Linked DNA regions of Arabidopsis thaliana. The protein of the gene in region 1 interacts with the protein of each later gene in a pairwise test. Each region holds a gene or a part of one and is shown on either strand. Other genes may lie near its edges.

Region 1 (3,755 bases):
AGGTAAATCCACTTTGATCGACGCTTTAGCGAATCGGATCGCTAAAGGAAGCTTGAAGGGCACGGTAACGCTTAACGGAGAAGCTCTTCAATCTCGGATGCTGAAAGTTATCTCAGCTTATGTAATGCAAGACGATCTTCTCTTCCCGATGCTTACTGTGGAAGAAACCTTAATGTTTGCAGCTGAGTTTCGATTACCAAGAAGCTTACCTAAATCCAAGAAGAAGCTTCGAGTTCAAGCCCTAATCGACCAGTTAGGGATAAGAAACGCTGCTAAAACAATCATTGGAGACGAAGGACACCGTGGAATCTCCGGTGGAGAAAGAAGGCGAGTTTCGATCGGAATCGATATCATCCACGACCCGATTGTTCTCTTCCTCGACGAACCTACTTCTGGTTTAGATTCCACAAGTGCTTTCATGGTGGTTAAAGTATTGAAGAGAATCGCAGAGAGTGGCAGTATCATTATAATGTCAATACATCAGCCAAGTCACAGAGTTCTCAGTTTACTTGATCGTCTTATCTTCTTGTCACGTGGACACACCGTCTTTAGTGGTTCTCCGGCGAGTCTACCGAGCTTTTTCGCCGGGTTCGGTAATCCGATACCGGAAAACGAGAATCAAACGGAGTTTGCACTCGATCTAATCAGAGAACTCGAAGGATCAGCTGGAGGAACAAGAGGATTAGTTGAATTCAACAAGAAATGGCAAGAGATGAAGAAACAGAGCAATCCTCAAACCCTAACTCCGCCGGCTTCTCCAAACCCAAATTTAACCTTGAAAGAAGCGATTTCCGCCAGCATAAGCAGAGGAAAACTAGTCTCCGGTGGCGGCGGTGGTTCCTCCGTCATAAACCACGGTGGCGGAACCTTAGCCGTCCCTGCATTCGCGAATCCGTTCTGGATCGAAATCAAAACTCTCACCAGACGCTCAATCCTCAACTCCCGACGACAACCGGAGCTACTCGGAATGCGATTAGCCACCGTAATCGTCACCGGATTCATCTTAGCCACCGTATTCTGGCGATTGGATAATTCACCAAAAGGAGTTCAAGAGCGGTTAGGGTTCTTCGCATTCGCAATGTCAACAATGTTCTACACTTGCGCCGATGCTCTTCCCGTGTTCCTCCAGGAACGTTACATCTTCATGAGAGAAACAGCTTACAACGCTTACCGGAGATCCTCCTACGTTCTCTCTCACGCCATTGTTACCTTCCCTTCGCTCATCTTCCTCTCTTTAGCTTTCGCAGTGACGACGTTTTGGGCTGTTGGGCTTGAAGGAGGCCTAATGGGCTTTTTATTCTACTGCTTAATCATCTTAGCCTCTTTCTGGTCCGGAAGCTCCTTCGTGACTTTCTTATCCGGCGTCGTTCCACATGTGATGTTAGGCTACACGATCGTTGTTGCTATTTTAGCTTACTTCTTGCTTTTCAGTGGCTTCTTCATCAACAGAGATCGAATCCCTCAGTATTGGATTTGGTTTCATTATCTTTCTCTGGTTAAGTATCCATACGAGGCGGTTCTTCAGAACGAGTTCTCGGATCCTACAGAATGTTTTGTGAGAGGTGTTCAGCTTTTCGACAACTCGCCTTTGGGAGAATTGACGTATGGGATGAAGCTGAGGCTTTTGGATTCTGTGAGCCGGTCGATAGGTATGAGGATATCGAGCTCTACGTGTTTAACGACGGGTGCTGATGTTCTGAAGCAGCAAGGAGTGACACAGCTTAGTAAATGGAACTGCTTGCTTATCACGGTAGGTTTCGGATTCCTATTTAGGATTTTGTTTTACTTGTGTTTGTTGCTTGGGAGCAAAAACAAGAGGAGGTGAAACTGAAACTACTGATGATACCTAAAACCAAAAACATATATTGTAATTCTTTTTCATTACTTGTAATTCGTAGATTGATTGTGTATTTGAATTGTATTCTTTTTAACATTTGTATTACTTTTGCCATCAATAAAAAAAATATCATTCTTTAGGAAATTGGAAATACAAAAAGCACCTATGAATCGCTTTTACTCAGAAAATTAATGCAACATTTCAAATAGAGGCATTGAGATTGTGGAAGAAAAATGAGGAGACACAGACACTGTTGCTAGAGGCAAGTAACTCTCAAAGCCATTTCACTTTGTAAGGTATCAAAAAGTCAAAATTGGAAGGCTATCTACAAAATCAATTAAAAACAAACCGATTTATCTGAAATTTAAAACCGAAACAAACCGGACCGAATCAGCATCAGAATATCGTCTGGTCCTGGCCGCTCTGCTCTAGCCGCAGTCGAAACACGAGTCCATAATACGAGCGGTGGTTGCTCACGCGCCATCCAGTTTGGCTGGAGATGCTATTCTGCATTTCGACAGTGAAGCTTTTCGGGTTTCAACAAAGGCGCAATGTTAGCTCTTTAGCCAAGCGTTTCAGTCTCGCCGGGAAACTAACGTTAGAGCTCCAAACTCAGGTTTGATTTGTGAAAGATTGAGACTTTCGTGAAATTTGTGAAATCAATGTGATGGACTGTTCACAGCTTGATTATCTCAAGTGTTAGAAAAGTTTTATCATACCTGAGTGTGGTTCCAAGAATTTTTCTAAGTTATGTATGTTTCTCCTCTACTGATAGCAATTGATACCAAAGATGAAACCTTTATGTTCTTTTAGCTTCTTCTATCTATAGTTAACCAAACAGACTGTTGATTTTGGGAGCTAATTGATGTAAGAAGATGTTGTACAGAACTTTTATGTCTCTCACAAAAGAGGATTTACGATCATCTTATCCATTTTATATCTAGGCTTCGTTGGACAATAACTTCTTACCCTGGTTAGAGCGAATTGCTGGAGCAAAGATAACTAATACTCTTTCGATTGGGAAATCCACCTATGGCAGGTGGGCTTGATGATGTTTTGAATAAGATGCAACTTTGCAAGTATTTTTCAAAATCCGTTTTTCGAGTACCTCGGTTTTCTGTTTACCGGCAATTAAAATATGGATTGTTAGACACATTTTCTCTATTCAATAATTCTATTCATAGTTCCCTTTCAATGTAATGATCAGATTCTTTGTTGATACCTTCTGTGGCAGCTTAATTTTTATATGACTTGTCTTGATGTTCTTTAATATGGTTCTGTCTTGTCATCAATAGTTGAAACATTGTACAACTTTGAATCATGTTATTTTGTCTTGTTTAGTAATCTGATTGTTTTCCATCTTTATGCGATTGTTTAATGAGTGATTGTGAGAATAACCAATTTCATTTCCTACCAGAGGCTGTCTCCTGGTGTGATGCTTTATCTTTAATGTCAAATACACTAACCATGTTAATAACTATATCAACTTCTGAGCAGGTCACTGTTCGCCTCCAAAGTTATCTATGCTGGTGACTGCATGTTGAAAGTCCCTTTTAATGCGGTATATTGTTGTCTACTGAAACGAGCTTTTCTGTTATCATGTGTCTTAAGAAGTATTGGAAATTCTTTTTATGCCATTAGTGTTGTTCTAACTTAAAATTTCAGCAAATAACTCCAGATGAGCTCCCCTCGGATATTAGAGTTTTATTGAGCAATGAAGTTGGGAATATCGGAATGCTTGCTGCTGTTCTAATAAGAGAGAAGAAAATGGGTCAAGTAAGCTAGGGCATCAACATTTGAGTAATTGACTTAAAATAAGTCTCCCATTTCATGTGAGTGTTTTGGTTTTGACTTAGTCTCTGATTGCTTTTGAATCAGAAGTCTCGATGGGTCCCTTATATCAGCCGACTTCCTCAAC
Region 2 (3,755 bases), about 20 Mb from region 1:
GCAGCAACACACTTTCATGATCAATACAAACTATATATATATATATATATATATATATATATGCTGTTTATAAATGATCATCATCCACATTAATGTATATACCTCTGCTGACGTTGCAGATTTTCATATCTACCTTTCAGCTTCAAGTACTCTCTGTAGCTGTTCTGAAAATTGCGAAGATAATAGACAATTGAATATCTATGTAAGAAACTTTGAAGGGCTTTTGTCTCAAAATCAAACATTTTCTTTAGATAAAATTAAAAAAGGATAAATAATTAAGATCGAAGAGATGTTGGAGATTAAACCTCAAGCTCTTTAGCAGGTTTGTTGTTGACTTCAATGGAGCCATAGCTACACTTCTGATACCTTTCCAGTGTCTTGAGCATGCTGAAAGATCAAAAAACACAAATCAGGAGAAGAAGAATCTATAAATTTAATGAACAAACTAAAATTTTAAAAACTAACAAAAGAAAATTTATAAAAAGAAGATCCCTTAATTAAAAAGATATTAAATTCATGTGGTGCTTAAATGTCTGCATGAGCTTTAATTAGACTGGTTAATGCATGGAACCACTAATTATTCTACGTTGGATCTTTTAAATTTCATTGAAGACTGTGAATCTTTAGTTTACTTTACCAAGTTCTAATCACATATATATCCGTGTAGAGACAATGAAATTACATGATAATAATAGTATATCATTATGATACTTTCCTAGCTCCGATAAATCTAAAAATAGATTGCAATTAAATCCCTAAGAATTTGACATGATGATTAAATTAAGATCAGATCTCGAAATTCAATCACTTGAAAGTACTGAATTATTCTTCTATAATCAAAACCTAATTAGAGATCAGATTAAGAAACTGAAAATATATCAAGTATTTTGTTAAAAAGCAATCAAGAAAGATAAAACTCATCACAAGACTAGAAAAATGAAAGATCTACACACAGATCTAATAAGTGTATAAAGAAAGAGAAGTACTTGGAGGTGCTGCAGAACTCGTAGAGCTTGCCACGGTTGGAGAAGACGATGAGAGAGACTTCAGCATCGCAGAGAACAGAAAGCTCATAAGCTTTTTTCAGCAAACCATTTCTACGTTTAGCAAACGTCACTTGTCTGTTGATTTTGTTCTCTATCCTCTTGAGCTCTACTCTTCCTCTTCCCATCTTTCCTCACCCCAAAAAATCCCTATCTTATTTTCCCTCTTTTATAGCTATTTGTGTAACCTTATTAGGGTATGTAATGTTTTATCTATATACAGACACACAGAAACATGACTTGGGTATTGCTTTTTCTGGGGAAAGATCTTATCTTTTGGTGAAGTAAACCCTAGTTTTCAAGAACAAGAAAAGAAGAGGAATAGCTAGAGAGAAAACTTTAATTAGCTTTCTTTGGTTTTTTTGGTTGTGATTTGATATTAGGGCTCTTGTTTATTCTTTAGATCTTTTCTCTTTTTGAAGGGTTGTGATGAGATTGTGAATCTGAAGAAAAGTTTTTGTGAATCTATAAAAGCTATAAAGATAAGAAAATTTGTGAGGGTGAGAGATCATTAGGGTTTGGTGATACAATATCTCTCTCTCTACTTCTTTACTCTTTCTCTCTCTTCCATCTTTTACACAGAAAGTAAAAAACATTCTCACACCTTCTCTCCCAAGTGCGTGCCACGCAGACACCATTATTTGCCATGAGTAGTTAGTTGCTAGTTGCTACTAATTAAGAAAAATGAATTAAGTTTTTAAAACAAACGTTGTCTAGTTATATAATCCATGTCCATATACATCTAGATATATGACTTAGATACCAATGTTTCGACTCTTTTAGGTCTACACGTACGTTGCCCAAACTTCATATTTGAGACATCTTTATTTATTTGTCAACAGAAATATTGAAACATGCATGGATCTTGATATTCTAAAGGTGCCTGAATTAAAATAGAACGATAACGTTTTAAAACCTAATTCCCAATTTGTAGTTTATATATTTCTTGTTTGATCCATATTATTACAAGCCTATATATAGTGTATATAAAACTCAATTAAGCTTCAAAAAGTCAGAAAACTCATCAATAGCTCAAGTTCCACTAATTAATGCCCGAATTTAAAGTTCATCTCTATAGTTTAAAATTTGTTCGTAGCTAGATTTTGCATCTTGGAGTGGTTAGTTATGTTTATTAGACACTTGGAATGCTTTTGAATGTACAATGTCCGGAAAAAAAAACTAATACTGAAAAGGGGATTTGTCCAAGTGGTGGTAGATAGGAGGAGGCGCGTGAGATTGGGGAAACATTGGTTTCTTCTGCAATGAATGAAACGAAAGCAGCTATCATCATTTTCTTTTTCTTACTTCACAAGCCGCAGAAAAGCCTCTCCTACCTTAAAATGGACATGTACGTGTCGCTTTTCTATTGCTTCCTATCTATTCGACAACATTGAAGTTTTGTTCTATTACTTTCGTATTCAATTTTTAATTTTTGTTTGAGAATACCAATTTTGTTTTGGATCTAAACTCGTTCTAATGTAAAAAATAATAATCAGCCGCAGTATATCAATATGTTACATTGTATCTGGACGTGGGATATCTGACCATGTCTCCATGAATCCATGATGATTGACAGATTTATAGGGATAAGTATCCTGGTTTAGGTAATCCATAAGTATTTATGAATATTATGAAAATAAATTTTGATCAGAAAGATTAATTAGTTAAGACTATGATGTAGGGTATTTTAAAATATTGCTAAAAATTTTGCGCGCTTTCAGTATGTATATTTATTTTACTAGTTTTCGGTTGATATATGATTTCTTGAAGTAATTAAGGTTATTAGCTAAATGGAAGAGAACGTGAGGAATATAACACATATGTGATCACATACGAATATATGTAGGTTTAACTTAATTGGTTCGTTGATTATTCTTTATAAAAGTGAAAGTAGATTTAAATTTGTTTTCCAATCTTCTATGTTTGGCCATTGTTTGCAAGAGTTTTGGGAATTAAAGTCTTTTTAGGTGAGACCAAGAAGGGTAAAATATGAGTTTTTGGGTCTAGAATTTATAAGTTAAATAGTTTATTCTCATTTCTAATTATTGTTGACCAAAAAAAAAAAAAACTGTTTGGTTTTGAGGTTTAATTACTTATTGTATATGTACACTCTCAATCATAATGTTTTGGATATACTGTATAGTAAATTTTTAATCAATCGTGTTTATTAGTATATATGTTACAAGTTACACCATTCGTCGTCTCAGTATCACTCTAATATCATTCTGGCGGATTTACTACACACAATTATGCAATTGTAAATAACTAAATACAAATAATTTTCCTTCAGACAAAGAATCTACGAGCAAAGATCTTTCTTCTCAGGTGACGTAGCAAGTCCGTATGTAGTAATTTAGAGAGACAGCTAAAAAACGTTAAAAAGTAAAAAAAAAAAAAAAAAAAAAAGTCTAGACAGTGGAAATTACGTAATAGGATGGGTGATGTGGTTCGAAGTACACGTGTCGATATATGACTGAATAGTAAGTAAGCTTTGACTTTTGTGGTAGGGGGCTGGCCCAAAGGGAGGAGTCACCTTTCTAACAGTGACTTGTCCCTCTTGTTTTTTTTTTACCCTTTCAATTTGTTTGATATTTTACCGTCTTATTACTTTGTTAATTGTGGACTATAATCTCTTCTTTATACCTTTTACAATGATTCAAATTGTCTAGTCTCATTTAGGTTATATATATATATGATTTGATACCGGAAAGC

Evidence for each region. The genes of interacting proteins can lie anywhere in the genome.
Region 2: the proteins of AT3G55080 (region 1) and SEP2 interact in a two-hybrid assay, tested with the Arabidopsis thaliana proteins (one large-scale study listed by BioGRID).

Annotation. Positions count from the first base shown.
Region 1 is NC_003074.8:20,414,412-20,418,166, reverse strand, and holds the start of AT3G55080 (SET domain-containing protein), read left to right. Parts: upstream 1-2,123; 5' UTR 2,124-2,336; coding exon 2,337-2,453; intron 2,454-2,651; exon of another isoform or gene 2,652-2,781; coding exon 2,782-2,876; intron 2,877-3,334; coding exon 3,335-3,398; intron 3,399-3,502; coding exon 3,503-3,613; intron 3,614-3,715; coding exon 3,716-3,755. Other genes in the region: ABCG16 (ABC-2 type transporter family protein), read left to right, coding at 1-1,825.
Region 2 is NC_003074.8:465,517-469,271, forward strand, and holds the start of SEP2 (K-box region and MADS-box transcription factor family protein), read right to left. Parts: upstream 1,636-3,755; 5' UTR 1,172-1,635; coding exon 987-1,171; intron 388-986; coding exon 306-387; intron 165-305; coding exon 103-164; intron 1-102. UniProt on the Arabidopsis thaliana protein: Probable transcription factor. Functions with SEPALLATA1/AGL2 and SEPALLATA3/AGL9 to ensure proper development of petals, stamens and carpels and to prevent the indeterminate growth of the flower meristem.